2 linked regions of the Alligator mississippiensis genome follow. The main gene of each other region encodes a partner of the protein of the gene in region 2 in a complex. Links are inferred from orthologs where the notes say so. Each region holds a gene or a part of one and is shown on either strand. Other genes may lie near its edges. The genes, in order: WWC1 and LATS1.

Region 1 (10,494 bases), on a different chromosome or scaffold from region 2:
AGTTATTTGACTGTGCAGAGGAAGATCTAACAAAATTCTGAGGATATAGGACAGATTTTAAAAGTAATTTGTTTTAGGTGAATAAAATGGGTGGTGACCTTTCAGCACCTGGAGGTCACTGTGAGGAATTTATTCCTTCTCTGCAGACTTGTTTGCCAAGAGATAAATATCTTTAGTGCAGGTGTACAAAGTGCCAAAGATTGCGAAGGTGACATATAGCAAACAGACAGCTGAGTGACTTATGATCACTGGCTCTGATAGTGAAATTCCACATGACTCATGATCTATAGCAGGTGTCCTTCTTAGGATTGCATTCCACTGAAGCAGACCTCACCTTAAGAATGTTTACACTGGATTTAGGAGATAAGCAAATCCCAAACTTACTAGGAACGGCCTTTAAGTGGCGGGGGAGGGGGGAGAATGTGAGTGTTTAATTTTGTTATATTTACTTACTCTCTCACAGAACCCTATCAGTTCAGTCTTCAGGCATTGTGCAGTAATGATGGACCCAAGCAGCTTGACACATCCAGCTTAATGTTACATAACTAGCCCTATGTTGCGACTATGGGCCCAACCATTCTTCATTAGATGAGAATCTATTGAACTGGAAGCCAAAATATTTAACGTTTGAAAACAAGGGTCCACTCTAAGTCAATGAATTTCTTTGAATAATATTTCCCTATTGGACAAAGAAATTTGCATAAAAAAATGAAGATAATAATAAAAAAAAAAAAATCTCTGCTAAGATGGAATCAAGACTCTGTAAACTGCTGGAATAGATATGAGCCAATTAAGGGAAAATATTTTTTAGACCTGACATGCTGGACTCCTTTGAAGCTTGCAACTCAACAAGAAATCTTATTTGTTATTTAGTAATGGACATGCTCGATGCCTGCTTAATTAAATGTTGTAGCCTTATGTTCAAGATATCTATATAATCAACTCCATAAAGGAGGTGAAACTTCAAGAGTTACTTGATTTCTTTGATTTATGCCTCTGATGTTCAGAAGTCTCTATTAACCATGCCCACAATTAGACTGTATGCATGTGGCTGTTCTGTTTTACTTCCGTACTAGATTGGACGCACTGGATAAATTCATAGATTCACAGGTGCTAGGGTCAGATGGGACCTCAACAGATTATCGAGTCCGACTCCCAGCTCTGGGCAGGAAAGAGTGCTGGGGCCAGATGACCCCAGCCAGATGCCTATCCAGCCTTCCTTATTGTAAAATTGTTGAAATGCTTCTCATGTTGAGGGAGCTGTACTCAGGATGGCTTCAGCCTGTGATAATCAAGGGGAGGGATATCCTAGGAAGAGATATGTCTAGGCAGGACCCTCTACATTCAGTCTTGCTGACTTAGCGCTGCCGAATCTTGCAATAGTTGCAATATATTTGTTAAAGCTTCAGCTTCAAGATTCACGTACATGGGAATCAATTTTAGTTTTAAAACAAATGGAAATTTCTGGCCTTCCTGGGTGTGGAGGAAAGCCTAAGAACATGACCCAAGTGAACTGTATTTGTTCAAAAATCAAGTGATAGACAAGAAACTAACCATGATTCATTTTTGTAAAAAAATCCCTTTATGATGTCTTACTTAGGATTTTTCAATGCTTGGGGTTGCCAATATGACAAAGTTTGATATGTGGAAGTAGAACCTATATTACTAGTTCCCTTTGACAATAAACACTAATCTTAGTGTTTACTTCAATTGTAAAGTTTTAAGTTTATCCTTAAAAAAACATCATGGGCCCCTGATAGAAGTTGAATACATTATTTTTTTTCTTATTTTCAGACCCATTTGGCTTCATTGGCTTGTTTATGATGACATGCACAATAATTAAACCTAATAACCCAAACAGACATTTTTGTGTTTACTTTTGCACTTTCCTCATTTATTTTCCACCAAATAAGGGAAAAGTGCTCAAAAGATAGCATCCCAGGCTCTGGTCTACTCCTAAGGGAAAAAGGCTACCTGTACTGGGTCAGTACAGCAAGCCCAGTCTCCCATCCCATTGGGTCCCATCCAGTCCTTACAGCTTGAAAAATAAACCAGGAATTTAAGCAGTTATGCACATGCCTCTTCAGATGGAGTTCAGTCATGTTCTCTATGGGGAATTGGTCACAATAGCTAGTGCAGAATAGTCTATTCCCCACTATCTCCCATGAGGAGACACACTATTTCAGAATAAGAATTTAATTTATAGCAGAATCATTAGTACATCTCTAAATCTGAGTAATTCTGGAATAAAATAAGTTTTATCCCAAACATTGTCCAAATGGGAGCTATTGTGGTAGGGGTTATTCCACAATAACTTCTAGTAGCCAGTTTCTATGTACAGACACACCATAATGACAGTAAGGAGAAACAAAACAAAGAGATTGCAATTGCCTTATCCCCCACTCTGTCCCTCCCTTTTATGCATGTGAAAACATACTTATGAATCATCTCTTCCTTTTGTTTGCTCATGAGGCCATAATCACCTGGTCTTTTATTACTTCATAATTCAGATAGACTGTGATAATACTGAATTCCTTTGTTGTGAATGCAAGTGTAAAAGGCAATGAGTTACAACACAAAAATTTCTGACTGTGTACATGCATATGTTTTAATGAGGTAAACTTTTTTGAGGAGTTAAAAGAGAGAGAAAAGCAAAATTAAATGTCTTTCACTTTACATTTAAAATATTTGGAAATATTTTCCTAGATACTTTAAAAAAATAATTAAAGGAACAAAGATATTATAAACAGGTCGGACACCTGGAAAAAAGCCATTTGTCAACCTTTCTGTATTTCATATGTATTTATGAAGCATATCTTGTGAGAAAATGATGAGCAATTGAACATAGAAGTTCCAAATGGAAATGCTGTTGAAAATGGAACTGTTGTATGTGTTACTGGGGAAAACTGATATACGAATATGATGTACAAAACTGATGTACAAATACAAATATGTGGTTTTTGTCTCAATGATATAGGTGTTCTTTCTCTCTTCTTTTTCTTGCAGCTTTCTCCTGTCATTTTACAATATTAATTGCTCCTGATTTTTTTGTTTTGATGTTATGAAACTGCTCACCTAAGAGCACTTTTTTCAAGTAATAAAATATCTAGTAGGTTCTTGCCCTCTCAGATATCCTGCAACAATGACTTCTGGGGGGTAATCACATTCTGCATAAAAATGTAATAGTTTTAAATATTTTTGCTTTTTTTTTTTGCTTACATTGATTTACCCTTTGTTTTTGCACCATCAGAGAAGGGGAATAAGAGTGCCTGGTTTACCATTTGTTACAGTCAGCACAATTTTTGAGGACCCAGAAGTCATCCCTTACAGGTATAGTTTCCTCATGACCCAGTTAACACTTATTACACTGCAGAAGTTCTTTCTTATAATGGATGATACCTATGGACCCAGAGGATGGTTCCCTCGGGAGCTCAGGGGAGCTGCAGCCAATCAGAGAGGAAAACCTGGTAGGATGTGGTTGCTGCTTTACAGAGAAGCAGCTATCACTGGCAGCATTTCAAAACATAGGTACCGTATTGTTTTTGGTTTAACTTCAATTAATAATCTAAAGAACTGGGTTTACTCTAAGTGTATCCTATAAAATAAACTGTCCTCTCTTACCAAAAGCATATTTTATTTTTATAGGGCTATCATACCTTTTCTATATGGTGTATTATTTTGTATGTTTCAGCATAACGTCTCCTATGTTTTACCTTTAAAACCAAATAGTTTTGATCACTTTTGTATTTTCACATGCTTTCCATGTTTCTAATAACTCTTGTTGCCTGTCTTTGAATTGTCACTATTTTTACTACCCTTCCACTAGCAATAGTAAGAGCTGAACTGAATACAATATTGCAGCTAAGTCTGATTATAAAGTCATAACACTTCCGGTATTTTTCCTCCCATATCTTATAACTCTCGACACCTCGGGTTTTGTACACCTCGTACATTAATCAAAGGCGTCTGTTATACTGTACATATAAATGGGCTGGTTTTACCATGAGTTCTTGTTACTCTGGAACTTCCTAAAATGTATAAGTAGTTCAAACAGTTACTCCTTATGTACTTTACCAGCAACAGATTAACAGTGAATGTCGCTTGTCAGATGATATGGGAATATCTGTCTTTATTTTAGACTATCCTATTCTTTCTTATCCCTGGCAGACTTTGTCACTTCACTCTTCTCTACACTCTTCCAATCACTAATAAATGGGCTAAACATCAGTTGTCATACAGAACCTTGGGATACCTCACAACTAACCTCTGCCTCATGTTGAGAATTGTCTGTTTATTTCTACTATTTAGTTTCCTATCCACGACAGACCTCAACCTTTGTGGAAACTCTTTCAAAAGCATTTTGAAAGTCTGAATAAGCTGTTAAGGTGTATTTGTCTGGTATGCACAAAGAAGTCTAGTGGACTAGAGGGACGGCTGTCTTTCACGTGCACCACGCTGACTCCACAGATACCCTTGAGAGTTTGCTAGGTTCAGGGCAGGCCCTGGAGCACATTTTTCTTGGGGGAAATGGAGGAAAGAGCTTTCTGAGGAGGTCTTCCCTGAGACTTTTTCCTTTTTCTGAAAGCTTCATTAAAGGAGAACAAGCTGGGCTACAGTATACAGCTGAGCAACATATGACAACCAGAATTGTGCATTCTGCATCTTAGTGGAATAGTAGGTTTGCACCTTGTAGAGCAGGGGTGGGCAAAATGCGACCCGGGGGCCGGGTGCGGCCTGCTAGGCCATTCTATCCAGCCCGTTTTTTAAATTAAAAAAAAATAATATTTATCTGCCCTGGGCTCCCTGTCACGCGACCCTCGATGGCTTGCCAAAACTCAGTGGCCCTCTGCCCAAACTAATTGCCTGCCCCGTTGTAGGTAGATATAGCAGAAGCTTTTGTTGGCTAATGCTTACTCATCAGATACTATTCAAGTAAGTTTCAGCTCACAAACTTATCCTGTATAGATCTGCTTTGGTCAGTCTATGAGGTGCAAATCTAACCTGCCTTCTACTTGACCTCACACTAACATTTAACTAAGATGTCTCTTAGTGGCCTATCAGTTTTAAAATAACTCTAGTGATGTGTCTAAAAGCAGCTCAGATGTACTCTTCTGCTGTCCAACATCCATCCAAGTCTCTGCTGTGTTTACAGCTCCATTATTGATCCTCATATTAGCGTTAAAGACACCACAGGACTTTCAATGAGAGCAAGGTTTGCCCTTGTGTTCTTTGCTGTAAGTCTCCGGAATGAATGGGGGTGGCTACTTCTCTTCCAGAAGTGGGTGCTACAGGCATGTAGCTGACACCGTACATGAGAACGAGGAGGGTCGTAGACACCCTAGGGAGAGAAACGGGACTCGGGGATGTATCCCTCCCTCCCCTCTACGTGCTCTCTTGCTCAGTGCAGCCTCACAGATGCCCCCTTGAAAGTCTCATAACTGAAAAGCGTCGGCAAAAACCATCCGAGAGGCTTAACGCTTCTGCCTGAAAACTTGGCTAATGGTGGAGACCCCAGAGCAGAAGAGTCAAACTGCTGCGGCCCCCCTGGCCCATGACTGAAGCTGCCCGCTCTGCCTGGGAGGCCTTTCCTTGCCCCTCCCCCGCGGGTGCGATGCCTCCCCGCTGGGGCAGGGGGACGCGGGGGGAAGTCAGTCCTCTCCTGCCGACAGGTGCACGTGGGAGCGGCCCGGGGGCGCCGCTAGGCGCGTGCCCTGCAGGGCAGGGGCATCCGGGGGGCCGCCCCGAGCACCTGGTGCCGGGAGCAGCCCGACCCGGCCGGTGCCCCGGGCAGCGCCCCCAGCGGCCCGGCCCGCGGCGGGGGGAGGCGCCTGGCTCCGCTACTGCCGTGTTTACAGTAGCCGCCGCGCGGCGGGATTGCGGGGGCCGCGCTATTACCTGCATTACAGCGGCACCTGGCCGGGCGCGCGCGGCGCTGCGGTGAAGCCGGGCGGGGCCCGGCAGGAGCGAGCCCGGCGGGCAGGGAGGGAGGGAGGGAGGAACGGAGCGGAGCCGCTCCAGGCCGCGGAGCGGAAAATGGAGGAGTGACCGGAGCCGACAGCGCCGCCCCGGCCCCGGCACCTGCGGCCGCGGGCCCGCCCCTTGCAGCGCCCCCGGCCCGGCCCGGCCCTGCCCGGCACGGCGGGATGTGAGCGGAGCGGAGCGGCCGCGGCCCCTGCTCCTGCCCCAGCCCCAGCCCCAGCCCGGGGCGCTGCATGGGGCGGCGCGGGCCGCCTGCGGACGATGCCGCGCAAGGAGCTGCCGCTGCCGGCGGGCTGGGAGGAAGCCCGGGACTACGACGGCAAAGTCTACTACATCGACCACGCCACGCGCACCACCAGCTGGGTCGACCCGCGGGACAGGTGCGGCCGGGCCGGGCCGGGCCGGGCCGGGGGGGAAGGAGCCCGAGGGGGGAGCCCGCCCCTGCCCGCGGGCGCTCGGCTCTTCCCCGGGCCGCGGGAGCCGGGGGCTTGCGTCCCCCCAGCCGGTGCCGGTGCCGGTGCCGGTGCAGGCCTCGGCCGTGCCCCCCCCGCCCTGAACAGCAGCTTCTCGGACCCAGGTCGCACTGCGCCGCCCGGGCGCTGCGGCTCACCGGGGCAGGTGGGACTTGGGAAAGTTTCTGGGAGAAGGACGGATATGCCGCCCCGCGGGGCCGAGGCGGGTCCCGTTGGGCTCGTGCTGGTGCCGGTGCCGGGCTGTCAGTCCGCAGCGCCTTGTTTTCAGTGTCGGCGGCGGCGGCTCGGGGCCACTGGTCTGTTGGTGACACCGAGGCACTTGGCTGGATTCAGGCCCTTGGACGGTCTCGCCCGCGGCTCGCTGGGCTCTGTCCTGCCGCTACCAGCACTCCCCTGGTCATGTGCACCTCCCTCACCTCTTGCATTGTCCTTTTACACTCATTTAAAATTCAGAAAGTCACCTTATTCTCCCTCTCTCTTCCTTTTTTTTACTTCTCGTTGTCTCCTCCCTGCCCCTGCCAGGATGCCACTCAGATCATTTCTGTCTAGGTTTGGTGAGGCAAGCTGTTAGCCAAAGTCCTCCATTTTTATGCTGAATTCCTTTTTCTCCATTCAGCATAACCACTCCCAGCCCACTGGGTCCTGCCTCAAGCCTAGGCTGAAAGCTTTGTGTGATGGACAATGCCTAGCACAACCCGGCCTTGATTCTTGCCTGCCATTCCTAGTTGCGGTCCCAAACAATGAAAGGAAAGGTCTTTCTCCGTGTAGGTGTGCCTTCTGCCTGCTGTTATTTCAGGGCTCTGGCAGATCTCAAATGCATGCTCTTAATATGCAAACTTCTCTATCACGGTATAATCCCCAGACCCAGTCAGGTTCAGAATGGGCTGGGCCAGTGTATAATGGTAGCAGGCTCTTTGTGATCTTTGTGGACAGTGGTTCTCAGTCTTTTTGGACTTAGACTTGAGACATCTTCTTCCAGTCCTGCTTCTCTTTGATGATGCTGATGACTTCTCAGAGACGGCCAGCTCCTACCTTTCACTTGGTTTTTTACTACAGAAAAATAATTTAATAATTCTTCTGCTGCAAAGAGCTCAGAAAGACCATAACAGATCAGAATATTATTTTACGTTACTATGGATTCCTGTGTGAAATCTCTGGGTTTATTGTTTGGATTGTATGTAGAAATGTATGCATCTAACAGTGCTAATACTGCACAGCACCCTGTGGTGCCCTTAAAAGGATCCCACAGTGCTGTGACACCCTGCTTGAGAATCACTGGCAGTAGGGACTAATAATCTAAGTTCAGTGGGGTTTTTGGCTCATCTGCAAAACAATGTCATGACCTAGATTAATACATTATTTACTAAATCATTAATCTCCCACAGTGTACTTCTGCAAATTCCCATGTCCACTTTTACTACCTGTCTGCTTCTTTCATGCCCCTCAGTTCTAAAGTGTGCACTTGTCTTTTATTGATCATTTTTAACATGAACTCAATATTTTTAAATGCCCTTGAGACTAAAAGTGCACATTCCATGTATATGATTTAGGTACAGTTTCAAAAAGATACTTCAGTTTGAAAAGGCAGTGCATCATTTTTCGGCATAGCAATTACAACTAAAAATGCAGCATCATTTTTCTTGCTAAGGTTGTGGAAAAGTCCTTGAAACTTAATTATAGTGTTTCCCACGAAGCAAGAGGTCTGACCAAGTGTCTTGGTAGATTTTAGTCACCTACATGGCTACTACACCTGAAGAAGAGAACTCTGCCTCAAGTACCATGATGCTAAAACTTCAAAATTCAGTGTAATTTTCTAAAATATCATGCAGTCTGCTGAGGTTTCTGATTTGTTACAACACAAAAGAACTAATTCTTAAGGAGTTCATAATCCAAGCCAGTCTAACTGCACAAAGTGTTATACAGTCATTTAAAAACAGTTGTGTGGTGCAGAGATCTTTAGGAATCTTCCTTGTTGTGCAGTGATTACAGGTCTGGGCTCAGTAATCTTTAAATGGATTATTTTTCCCCAGCAACTTGATTCTTTGAATTTTTTAAAATTTAAGTCAGGATACCAATGCCCACACATTCTTTTAATTCTAGTTAGGTTATTCAGCTGATCATCCAAATGTTCATTAGCCGTGGGAATGAATGTTTTATGCAGTTCCTAGCTTTACAGGATTTCAAGAAGCATTCTGCATTCCAGGAGTAATCTTTTGTGTGCATACTGTACACAAATGTAATCTGCTGATCTGTTGGAGGTAGGGAATTCATTTTAAGGTTTCCCTTTCAGTAATTTGCTTGAGAAGCAGCCAATAATAGAATTCCTGCCAGCTTTTCTTAATAGTTAGAGGAAAACTATGCCAGCTTAATTTAATTCCTAAAATTTCCCAAACACTCTTAGTTCTTCTAATGAAACTAAAGAGACAATAACTCATTAACATTAGCAAGGACAAATACTGGATTCTACAAGTCCTGATCTCTTACTAAGTGTGGGATGGTACGAATGGTTACAATTACAAGCAGATACCTTATTTTAAGTATGTGTTTTGTGCTACTACAATAACATTAACTGTTTGTTTTATTAATTGTAACTAGTTTTTTATTGTTTTGTGGAAAACAGTTAACAGAAATCTAGGTTTCTCAATAGCATGCATGGTACGGATAAACCTTGAATCTGAATATGCTCATTCATTCCTGAGCAGGAAATCTGTTTTCACATTCTGTGAAACTTTTCAAGATTTAAAGACTGTTTCTGTTTTTGGGAGGAGGAGTGGCAGAAAAGAGATGCAGTAAAGACATCTGCTTAGTTATAAGAGCTCTTACCTGGGCAGTGGAAAATAAGGTTCAAGCCCCTTGTTCTACTGTTCTCCCACAAAAAGTTCCATCTTGAGCAAATCAGCAAATGAAAATCTATTATTTTATTGAGAAATTCATGATCAGCCTGAGTCAGGAATAGCTACCACTACTGAAACCACTATACAACTACCCAGTACTGAAACCATTAGGTTATCACAGTGTAAACCTGGGGTGAGTAGAATCTGGTGCTTATTTTACTTTATTTTACTAGAATATAACATTATTAGCAGTATTAGAAGATAACAATGAGTTAATTTTATGCAATAGACAGCCCTCTGCATATAATCAGTTTAACTTATTTGTGCAGTCTTTCATATAGCAAAAAAGATTAAAAAGTGTGGCTGTAAAACCAAAAACTGCAGGGGTTATGGAGGCAGATATATGACTTCGCTCTTTTTGAATTGAGTGGCTTCAAACTGGCTAGATTTCAAGTTGCCAGTGCCCATATAATATCTGTTCCATTTATTCAGCAAGCAACGAGTGGTAACTAGAGATAGGAAACAATTTTTAAAGCTTTCTCAGATCTCTCTTTCTAGTTTAATTTAGTGTAAATAAATATGAATAGGGATGTTGTACAGCTTCAGGGCTTAAGTTAAGTCTCTCATGCTTTTGTTACAATAGTTGGTGCTGGGTTTGCAGTTAGATGTGCAATGTGGTAATTAGGCTTGTTGAATGAATTATTGCAGAAGTGTGCCTGTATGTAGTTGAAAGCTAACGTTTTCCTTGATGTTCCATTACAAGGAGAAGTGGTGAACAAAAAGTGTTCAGTAATCCTCTAGGAATCAAGTGAACTACTGGAGTCACCTGCATTAACTGAAATGATCCCATTTCATTGAAGAACAGGGAGTTTTGTGCAAAAGTTTAAGTATCTTATTACCTCTGTCATAAAAAGCATCCTAATTTATTTACAAGACAAGAAAGTAGACTCAGATGCTGGGTAGGATCAGGCAAAGTGTCTTCTGTGTCATGAGATCTTTCCTTATAAACCAACCTGAATTTCAAAGTCCTTAAGGCGTTCATAGTTGTTATGAAATGAAGAAGGTGGCTTATCTAAAGCATGTGACTTAAAACTTAACTGCTCTTTGCCTCATTGCCATTTGCTCTTTGCCTTTTTACAAGGAACAATGGCCACAAGCTAGCAGAGAGCAGATTTAGATTGGACATTAGGAAGAACTTCTTCACAGTT
Region 2 (11,053 bases):
TATTATTCCACTACTCTGAGATTTCAAAACCAAAAAAGGACCACTATGATGATTTAGTGTATTTTCCTATGTAAGGTAAGCCTAAGAACCTCACCCAATATCAGCTGCATCAACCCCTAACCTATTTGAACTAGACCATATTTTGTTAAAAATCTTAAGCCAGTGATGAAGAATCTACCACCTCCCTAAGCAAGCCAATTTCATATCTTAATAGGAGTATAATGAAGCAATATTCACACTAATAATAAAATGCAAGTCTAGCAAAAACTAAAAGCACCATTCTTCCATACCACGGGGGACGTGAGCTCCTGCCACAGTGACCAGATTCTTTGGGTTCCCCCTTCCTCCTCCAGCTTCTACCAACTGGTCCCGCTATTGGCAGCTGGTGGCAGAGTAGGAAAGGGATGGAGTGCCCAGACTGTGTGCACACCAGGGGAGAGTCTGGGCTGTTTTGCACTGCGCACACACAGCAAAAGAGTGAGCTGGATTGCCCTCACTGCAGATGGGCAGTGCATGTGGCAGGGATGGGACCAAGATGTCTGTGTTGCAGGGAAAGGGAGAAAAAGGCTCCCTTCCTGTGTGCGTGGCATGCGGTTCACGTGATTTGCAGCCCATGGCCTGTCCTGTGCCTCAAAAGTTGAACACCCCTGCCTTCAGATGATAAGACAAATTCTGTGATGGGCTTGCATGCTCTTATACCTGAGAGTACTAGAATTCTATATAGTTTTTCTAAAGAGGAAAGGTTAGGTATACCAAGAACCTCTACATGCATTATTCTAAAAATAAGTTTCTGTTTTGATGGAGCTAACACAGAAATAATTAATTCTGTGTGAACACACACAGTCAACTTTTAAAGACTTGTAAAATACAGTTAAGGAAAACCATAATGTGCATGCTACATGGCTAATTTGTGCTGTATATAAGCAGTTTGCTGATATGTGCAACAAGCAAGTCTGGTCACTCTCATGGAGCCATGCCTTGATCAGTGTGCATCTTATAAAGAAAAAATTGTGTAATTCCTGCATCATTGCAGGACAACAAATTCATTCTATGGGCAGCCTAAGGTGCAAAGAACAGTGCACTCTAGTGATGTCTTGCTTTTTTCTTCAAAGCCAATTGGGAGAATGGTAGAAGTGGATATTATAAGCCTTTTTAATTTCTTTATTACACACAAAGGTGACTTGAACAAATAAAAACACTCTGCTAATTTAACTTCCCAGAAAAATCACTGGAAAGTCAAGCTTCATCCGCCTTACTTTGGAGAATCCAGACATTTACAAAGTGCAAACTCACTCCTTCCTTAAAGGACAGGGAAAGGAAAAAAAGGTTCACTCTTATCAAGAATTTGATTTAAACCGATGTGTAAGTTTTATTAAGTGAAATGCTTTCTTTTATTGGACCAACTGCTTGATTGGGAAAGGAGTCCAATAGTCCAATCTGGCCTAGGGGACCAAAGCAGTTTGATATCCCTGCTATAAAATAATGTAATAATTTGATCACTGTCACGCACATGCAAGGACAATTAAGCTTCCCTAGCCAACCTTAACATGGGTCATTCTTAACTAGAAATTTTAACATTAAAAAAAGAGTAGTAGTTGAAGGGAAACATGATTCAACTGAAAGCATGTCATAAATGTGACTTAAAGGATAATTATGCTGAAACAAATTCATTTCTTTAATCATTATTTACCTTAATGTCTTTATCATAGAATCTTAGAGAAGTAGGGCTGGAAGGCACCTCCAGAGGTCATCTAGTCAAGCCCCCTGCCTGAGGCAGGATCAGCCCTATCCAAACTCTCTCATACAAAACATAATCTTAAACCCTACATAATACATGTAAGAAAAATCAAAGGTCTCAATCAACAATGCCAAGAGACATCATCCCTCCCCCCACCACTGCCAATTTATTATTGGCCCAGATAATGGTCAAGGGTTGTTTTTGTACATTCCAGAGATTGCATTAACTGCTTCGCTAATTGGCTATGAAAGAAAATGAGGTGGAGACATACACTAAGAGAACTGAAAAGAATCTCCACATCTAGGAAGATGACATGCAGGGTTTCTCCCCTTATCCAAAGTCATATTAAAAACAAAAAACACACAACAGGCTCAATGGCTCAGCCAATAAGGAGCAACATTTTATTAGTATTTTGGTTACCAGTTAAAATTCAGCCAAATCTAGTAGCAATCAGAAACAATCATAATCTAATGAACAATAGGTAAACTACAAAACCCCCCCAACAGATTCTTTTCACTTCTGATGGATAGATAACCACATCAGAGCACAAACACAAAATTCATTCTTTTATCACACGTTTATCCTTAAACCCCTCACCAAAAAACCTTACAAGGAATTTTCATAACACATTCACATAATCCTGGAATTCCAAAGCAAAAAAAAACAACCTATTTACTCCACGCTTGCATGCTTTTCCATAATTTTCTTTGCTTTGTTAATCAATCAATCACCACCTTGTAACTGAGGCAAACAAACACAACACCCTTAAGATCAGTGGTCAAGCAAATAGGGCACTTAAACAGGAGTCAGGAGCCCTGGAATGTGCTGTTTATTCACCTCTATAGGCTTACAAAGTGACTTTCCTGCTTCAATTTCCCCCTCTACAAAATGAGATGGCTATACATACTTTATTTTGTAAAGGGATCCAAGATCCTTAAACAACAAATGCTGTAAAAAAAGTGCTGGAAATCATTTATTATTCTGTTGGTGGTTTTAACCTTACTGGTCAAAAACTAAGAGGAGCTGGGAACTAAATTGCTTTGAAGCCAATTTAAATTGATGCCTCCAGCTTAACAAAGTACAAGGAAGCAACAACTACTGTCATTGTGTGCGATCTATACATGAGCGGCACATAGGAAACTTCAAGCCCTAAGGCTGCCAATTCATCACCTTTCACAAACATTGAATTTATACACATTTTAAAACAAAAATAAGTTCGCTATGTGGGCAGTACTCCCCATAACTCATGGGAGACTATTGCCCAGGACCAACCCAAATGGAGGAAGGGGGTCTCAACACTTTGAAATCTCATGACAAGAAATGGAAAAGCAGGAGCAGCAGAAATAGCATGTTGGGGACCAAATAAAAAATCCAGTGCCACCCACCCCACCCAGAAACACATGTCCAAGATGCAGCAGAGTCTGTCAATCCCAGACAGGCCTCATCAGCCATCTCTGGACACGCACATAAAACAACCACTGAAGACAATCAACCTTGACTGTGAAGAATTACAGAAGATTTACCCTGAACTTGGAGTGGATGGTGGCCCCACCTGCAGTGTGGCAGGTGACCGTGGTAAATATATTTTCAGATGCATCAATCTCTTACCACACAGTTCTAATACACAGTGACCAGGGTAGAGATATTACCAGATCTATCTATCCCTTTTCACGTAGTTCTCTACCCCTCCATGCGGCTGTATCACTTATCTCCTCTTTGTATTTTAAGGAGACCAAAACCAAGGTAAGCAGCATCTCAGTTTACCAGCCCAAACTTCCAAAAAACATTAGCTGCTCACAGAAGCCTTTACCAGATTCTCGATACACCACAACACACTGGATCGTCAATGCCGCTACTGTCCGAAACAAGAAGACAGGGAGCCTGGATGGCAGTGGCCCAAGGCAGTGGTTCCCACCTTTTTTCATACTGCAGACCAGCATGGGAGCAGGATCGGGCACACTCCCCCTGGGGGCTGCCCCACCGCCCAGCTTTAACCCTGCATGTAACTGCCTGCAGCATAAGCCACTCACCCAGGCAGACAAATGAGGTCGGAGCAAGGGGCTCATACCACAACCCAGCTGCCAACCCTTTGCAGCTTGGTACCGAGGCACAGACCGGTGGTTGGTAACCTCTGGCCCAAGGCCTGCCCTGGATGGCAGCTGCGGGTCGCGTGCCCATACAGCTGCATCTCCTGACAGCAGCAAGGAACCACAAGAACACCCCCAACTTCACAAGGACGTGCCTAAGTTTGCCAGGCGGCACAAGACATTACCGAAGCCGAATAAAAACCTGCTGACGTTTAACCACTGCACAAAACAAAGCAGGCGAAGACAAATATGCAACTGCAGCACCCTCCTCGCTGCCTCTGCAACCCAACTCGGCCCAGAGAGTTCAACGAGACTCCTCACCCCCACCGCCTGCCCATCCCGCTCCAGGCCGGGCGCCCGGGGAAGCACAGCGGAACGGGCCCGCAGCGACTGAGGCCAGGCCCGCCCCCACGGCGATCGCGGCAGCAGGGTCCAGGCCGCCCTAGGGCAGGGGGCGGCGGACCCCGGCTCGCACCCACCTGAGTGGCGGCGGCGGCGCGGCGCCCCGGGCCCGGGCGCGCGGGGAGCGGCGCCGCGTCGGTTGGCGGCGCTGGCGGCTCGTCCCCTCCCCCACCCCCCCGTGGGGCTCAGTTCCGGGCCGCCATCTTGTCGGCGGGTCCGTCGCCGAGGGCTTCCCGGATGTGGCGAGATCCCGGCGTGCCTTGCGCCACCGCCCCTCGGAAAGGAATACTTGCTGCCTTGGCGTTCCGGGCCCGCCTGAGGGGCAGGCCCGCGCGCGGGGGGCGGGGCCGGTGCCCCAGCCCCTCCCCCTCCCGGCTACTTTACGTGCGAACCCTCAGCTCAGGGCGGGTGAAGTTCCTAGGCTGCACCTCACGTGGCAGTAGCCCCAGCACCAGGGCCCTTATCGCCGCAGTGGTTTCATGGCAGTACCATGTGCTGCTGGGGCTTTAGGGGAGCGTAGCGCCTCTCCCTGAAGTCTTCTGCCCCATCATCCCTTCCTCGTTTTATCTTTATTTAGGGCTCCGAGCCTAACGCCGGGCGTTGTTTTACATATTAATTGGGAAATGTTCATAGCTGATTAAATTTTCTCTCTTTTGAATGTGTCATTCATGAATAAACTAGCTTGTGTTGGGTATAAATTAGCTTTCCAAAAGGAACTGGGACCAGGAATAAGGAAGTGGGAGTAGGGAGCCAGCTTCAGCCAGGGTTCAAATTACAGCCCGACTCTTGGCCAGGTGTGGGAAGGAGCAGCCAGGCCAGCCACTGGTGTCAGCTACTTAGAAAGATATAGGGTGAGCCTGGGCTGTCCTCTTAATGGGGGGCAGGGCTCAGCCCCCCCATCTTTAGCCTCATCTCATGCTGCTTCCCAGTGACTTCCTTCTACCATCCAGAGGCAGAACCAGCAGCTCCCAGGCTCCAGCTGCCCATCATGTCCCATAGCTGTTGGGCTGGTACCTGCCACCTCCCAAAAAGGGGATAAAGACTTGTCAACCTTATTTTAGATCTGGGGAAACTGAAGCAGAGACAGTGACTTGCACAAATCACAGTTCTGGGCTTGAGTGCCTGTGCTAGGAGCTGCACATTTTGATTTTGGGCTTGTTAGAGCTCCAGCACTAACCCCCAGCAACACACACAAAAAGAGAGGCAGAAGAGAGGCTAAGAGACTGTCCCTACAGAACCAGACTGAATCAGACTCAAATCCAGAACATGCAGTTTCTGGGGTCTATGTTCTTACCGGTGGTCAAGTTAATTTAGATGTACCATATTTACCCAACTCCAAGATGACTAAGTTTAAGATGTCCCCACTCCCAGTAATTAGATTCTACACATGGAAAATCATAGAATCATAGGTAAGTAGCCCATAAGGGACCTCCAGGGTCTAGTCCAACCCTTGCCTGAAGCAGGATCATCCCTTTCCAAACCTTTATCTAAACTCTATGCAAGCCTACCATCAACCCTGACACAATGCAGACCTAACACCTTAACCTGCCACAGGTAAACTAGGGGAACCACCACAGACAACACCCCGTTTCTATTAAATGCTGTCAATAGATTCTCAAGAAATCCCAGGTAGAGGGCCAGCCCCCCCAGCAAAATTTCATCATAAATTTGTTATGTTTTCCATGCATAGAAAGTAATTAGTGAAAGGTTATTTTGAATTCATCCCTGCCCCCCTGCTGTGACAGGGAAAGCAGCAGACCCCTGCCAGCCCCCACTGACATTCCTCAGTCCCACCCCCACAATCTCTGTGCCCGTTCACCACTTGGCCACCTGCCCATTGCCCTCTGTGCCTATCCCCACTCCCTGCCTTCCCCCGGTAGCCTGCTCTCCCACCTCCCCCAGCCCATGCCTGCTCCCCACCTTTTATCAACTTTTGCAGCTCTGCTCCTCCAGGCCAGAGAAGCAGAGGCAGCTCCAGGTAGGGGCTGGAGGAATTGAAGCCAGAGCAGAAGGTAAGGTAGAGGATGGCAGGTTGCAATTCCCTCCTCACCCACCAATCTCTCCCCTTCACACTCCTCCTGGTAGCAAGCTCCCTCCCCGAAACAACCCATTCCAGCCCAGGGCAGGCAGCAGCTCTGCTCCAGCTTTAACCTCAAGCCTGGGGCCAAAGCCAGAGCTGAGCCATGATCTCCCCTGGGTTGGAACTCAAATCCAAGATGAGGCTCTCTTCTCCCCTCCCCACCATGCTGATTGCAGGAGAGGGGAACCACATCTTAGATTTGAGTAAATATGGTAAAATCTAAAGCACGTGCAGTATGTAACTGACAGATCACAGACTCACCTTTGCAAAGTGATACCCTCGGACTTGAGTTTGCCACCACCTCTGAAAAATTAGGCTATTCAAGCTGCAACAGCTATACCCCAACCCTGCAAGACAGTTAGAACAGACAGACCACTGGTCCTGTAAAGAACCACATCATGGTGGGACATCAGCATGGATGCACAATTCAAAATAGACTTCTATAAATAAATTGTTGATTTAATTACATGCCTCCCTTCCTAACAAAGGCTCGGGACATTGTTACACGTGCTCCAGGAGGTGCAGGTGGCCACTTTAATTAGCCCAAGCATCACGTGTATCAATATCTCCCATGCTGAAAAATGGCGGCTGGGCGCTTTGAACTAAAGCTCATCGCACAAGCTTTAGTTCAAAGCTAGACACTAATATATGTGACACCAGAGTCTGCTAGAGCATGTTTATTTCTGTGCTCCAGCCAACTCTACTAAGTCTGCTCAGATGTGCTGTATTTCCAGCACAAAGCCAGCTCCCTGCACATGTATAGGAGCCCAGGGTGGATTGATCACCTGTAACAACACAAAACTAAGCCAAGAAGATAAATTGCTTGCCCCTCTGTAAGCTGCTTGAAGCACCATCTACTCAAGTTAAGATTATAGTACAAAGTGAAAGGCAGAAAGAATGAGTAAATAGCATTTTGTTAAAAAATATTTATTAAAAACATTAAAGGATTCCTTGCAACAAAAGCTTGCAACATAACACCAGGAAAAAAGCCAAATCAGAAAGCTCTTCAATTGCTGTTTGGCATCATTTAGACTTAGCCTTCCATGATTCTGACAAAAAACAAACAAACCCCTAAGCCTGTTTTTACAGGTGATTTTTTCCTTATACAGAATAGTAATGGTCAGAGCTCTGGCTTCCATGAATTTACAGAAGCATAGCAGGTACAGGCACATCGTGAAAGGTGGGTTTTAAATGTGTCCTTGCAAAGACCACCAGCATTATTTTAAATCAATACAGTTTCATCATATTTAGAACTCTTATAATAGCTTACTCGTGCAAGCTATTTGTCATTTTGCATTTCACTGAACATGAATACTTCAGCTCTCACGCACCAGCTTAAGAATAGGGTTTCTAGTACTGCATAAGATTATTTAAATAAAAATCTCACATTTGAAAAGCATCATCTCTCTTAAAAAAACAAAAAGAAACAGACTGTTAGTTTTGGCCCTTAACAACACTTTGTGCTAATATTAAAATGTAAAAGTATTTTTCACTTAACAGGACCCTCGTGTATTAACTTAAATCTCTTTCCTGGCTGACTGGCTTCCAGTCTGCCAAATAAAGTCAGGCAGTGGAGGAAAAAAAAAATGGAAAGGAGGGCACACTTAAATAACAAGCTAGCTGCCATCCCCTTTAAATTTATGAATAAGCAGAGGGTAGTGGAACAGATCTCAGAAGTGTATTAGCTAACTTGCGCTCTCTCTGCAATACTAGGACCACATTATAGGTCTCAGTACAAAACACTGTTAACAGAGTAACACATTTCATTTTAAAATTAAACTAGAATCCTGAGGACCTCTCCTGAGGAGCTCTTGAGGCATGCAAACTGCTCAGGTGTTCCTCTGAAGTATATTCAAGCAAAAAGTTGCCTCTTGACATAAATAGCTTCCGCATCAGTACCACATACTAGACATGGTCCTAAGACATCCACACTGTTAACAGATAAAGTTGGATTTGGAATTACATTAGTGATCTCCATGCGGTCTTTGGTAGGATCATTGCTTAGCCAGGCACTCACTACAGACTGATTAACATTAGGCTGGTTAACGGCACTATGTGACAGAAATGTACTTCTTCCACCTTAAGAGTGGGGAGAAAGAGAGAAAAAAATTAGCTCATTCTTTGTTTAGCTATGTTCATGATTATGGATGGCATATTACTCATTTATTTCACATGGCAGAATACCAGTTTAAGATTGTACATTTATTTTTGGTTTAAATGGACTTATTCAAGTCTCAAGTAATGGGGGATATCTTTGTTTCACTAAAACAACAAGAATACTTTGTCTTTGCTAGCCTGTTACCAGCAGTTTCTCTAGCTGAATGGACCAGAATATTAACAGAATTGTAAAGAGCCTCCTTAGTGTTGTTATCTAGTAAATAGCTTGGAAATGTGAAATGTTTCTCTAGGAGAGAAACACTTTCACACTAAAGCAAGCCTAGACTCATACAAGAAAACCTGCAAACAGTACTCTATGGTTCTGGCTGCTTCCGATTTGCCTGAAATATTTAACCCTAGCATCCCCTCCTCTTATTTGTTCTGCCCAAAATGATACTCCAGATTTGATTTCATTTCTGCTACAGAAAGAAATGCAGTCACAAATTTAATAGTCAAATTAATATGCAGCACTGTCATTAAAAAATTGAAGACAGACTATGGGCAGCAGCCTATTTAGAAACAAGTGTTTAACCAGCAGTGCTATAAGCCTGCCATGAAATATGTGAATGCTGCTGGATTTATTATTAGCTGTTTCAATTCTTCTCTTCAGAACTGACACCAGAGGGAAGTTTAAGGTGCTACACCTCATAAGAGTACCTGAATACTTCCCCTACTTTTATTTATCTTGATGCTTTGTAACCTGAAATTTCAAGTTTTTAAACACTAAAAGTCAGTATAAAGTCACATTTTGTATCTATAGGAAAGTAGAATTCAGTGTTAAAATACAGATGAAAGAATGCTGAAGGTACTTTTGCAACAAAGTCTGCCCCTGTTACACCTTGGGGAATTATACAATTATGTGCCTGCGCGATTTTGCACATAAAAGGCGTGCCTTCGCATAATTGCATATTTTACACTCCAACTGGGAGCCCCGTGATATGGAAGCACAGAGCTGCACAAGTGGGGAGGGGAGCTCCTGCTTGCATGTGTGGGAGGGGGCGGAGACACATGGGAGTGGGTGGGTACAGACTGCAAGTTATAGGGCCACGTGAACTCCATGCCTCCATGTGGGGCTTCCAGCACTCCAACAGAAAGCCACATGTGGGGGCAAGCAGAAGCCCACCCAGCCCAATAGTGTGTGACTGTACCTCTATGTGCAGCTTCCCACTGGAGTGCTGGAAGCCCCACATGGAGGTCCAGCCAAGCCTAATGGTGCATGGACTGGGAACTGTGCGCAAAGCTGCACATGAAAGCACGGAGTCACACTCCATCAGGCCAGGTGGGCTTCTGCTTGCCTCCATGGGCAGCTTCCCACTGGAGTGCTGGAAGCCCCACACAGAGGCATAGAGTCTGCCTGGCCCACACACTATTGGGCCAGGCCAGTCCTCCATGTGAAGGTTTAAAGTGTTAAATATTTAGTTCAATTTGTAAAAAGTAAATTAATTTTGCATAATTCTAAATTTTCCTGGAGAGTACCATGTTAGTATGCATCTTTTGTCAGAATACCCTTTTATTTTCAATTTCTTTCAACACGCATACAAAAGAGCTCTCCCATTTGCTGCCTTAAAAAATTTTGTCTAGAGGGACAAAAAAAGTTGTACAATTCATATGTCCACTTTGTTGTCTATATTAGTTTGAATTCAGCTCTCCACCATTTCAGTCAGCCTGTTACTATATCCAGTAAATTATGGTCCCCCAAGGCTATGAGCGAGTTTGTGTTAAAAGGACCACAGTTGTTACTCAGAGCCACACTAGCACTTGGAAGTGGATGTACAGCATACCATATTAAACTTTTAATCAGTAGTCAGCTGAAATGGCACCCAATTAAGTGCAACTTTATCATGCTTTATATAATTCAAGTGCCTTTAAAGAATCTAGCTGAAGGTAGGCCAGGGTGGCACTTGAGCATAATTGGCTCAGACATGAGCTTCTGTACTCAAACTACTTCACAAGATGCTATGAATGGACTTTAGGTAGTGACATGGCATTTATTTAAACAATTTAGGAAGGGATATGGTATCTATTGTTCTTCAACACAGAGTTCCTTATCTTTGGCTTCCTGCAGGGAAGACAAGGTCTAACAGTAACAAACTGCTGGAAGACTGTTTTAGACAGGACATAAGGAAAAATGTCTTTACCATCTGAGTCTCCAGAGTCTGGAATAGATTTCCCCCAGAAGTGATCCAAACATCTACCTTGGATACCTTTAAGAAATGCTTGGATGCTTACCTTGCTAACCCCAGCTGACTTCCTGCCCCTTGGCAGAACCCGATGATCTCGCGAGGTCCCTTCCAGCCCCAATATCTATGAAATCTACCCAGCTGTGAAAATTCTGGACATGCTCCTTCACCCAAGTACAAAGGGATCAGATACAGCAACAAAAGTGAAAGCATTACGGGTCTCTTAAGAGACCCATAAAAGGTCTCTCTCTCTCCCCCTCCCTAAGTCACTCTCAATTTCAATACTTTGATATAAGCAGAGAGATTACCTATCCACAACCAGACAAATTTTGAGCTAGTTGCCACTTAAACAAAACAGAATTTGCACCTGCCCAAAAGGATGTGCCTCCAGATAATCTTTACCTTGATG

What was found.
Region 1: the proteins of LATS1 (region 2) and WWC1 are in contact, whole or in part, in a crystal structure (PDB 6J68), measured with the Mus musculus proteins. The link is inferred for Alligator mississippiensis from reciprocal best matches to the Homo sapiens genes LATS1 and WWC1. Residues at the interface, in NP_034820.1 of Mus musculus: Ala546, Glu547, Ala548, Pro549, Ser550, Tyr551, Gly553, Pro554, Pro555, Pro556, Pro557, Tyr558, Leu562, Leu563; in NP_740749.1 of Mus musculus: Asp17, Tyr23, Ile25, Asp26, His27, Arg30, Thr31, Thr32, Ser33, Trp34, Asp64, Val67, Tyr70, Ile72, Asp73, His74, Lys77, Thr78, Thr79, Gln80, Ile81.

The regions. Positions count from the first base shown.
Region 1 is NC_081832.1:52,216,284-52,226,777, reverse strand, and holds the start of WWC1 (protein KIBRA), read left to right. Parts: upstream 1-6,065; 5' UTR 6,066-6,240; coding exon 6,241-6,359; intron 6,360-10,494. UniProt on the Homo sapiens protein: Regulator of the Hippo signaling pathway, also known as the Salvador-Warts-Hippo (SWH) pathway.
Region 2 is NC_081824.1:128,988,623-128,999,675, forward strand, and holds the start of LATS1 (serine/threonine-protein kinase LATS1), read right to left. Parts: upstream 4,431-11,053; 5' UTR 4,305-4,430; intron 1-4,304. Other genes in the region: nucleoporin Nup43, read right to left, coding at 8,160-8,386, 11,047-11,053. UniProt on the Homo sapiens protein: Negative regulator of YAP1 in the Hippo signaling pathway that plays a pivotal role in organ size control and tumor suppression by restricting proliferation and promoting apoptosis.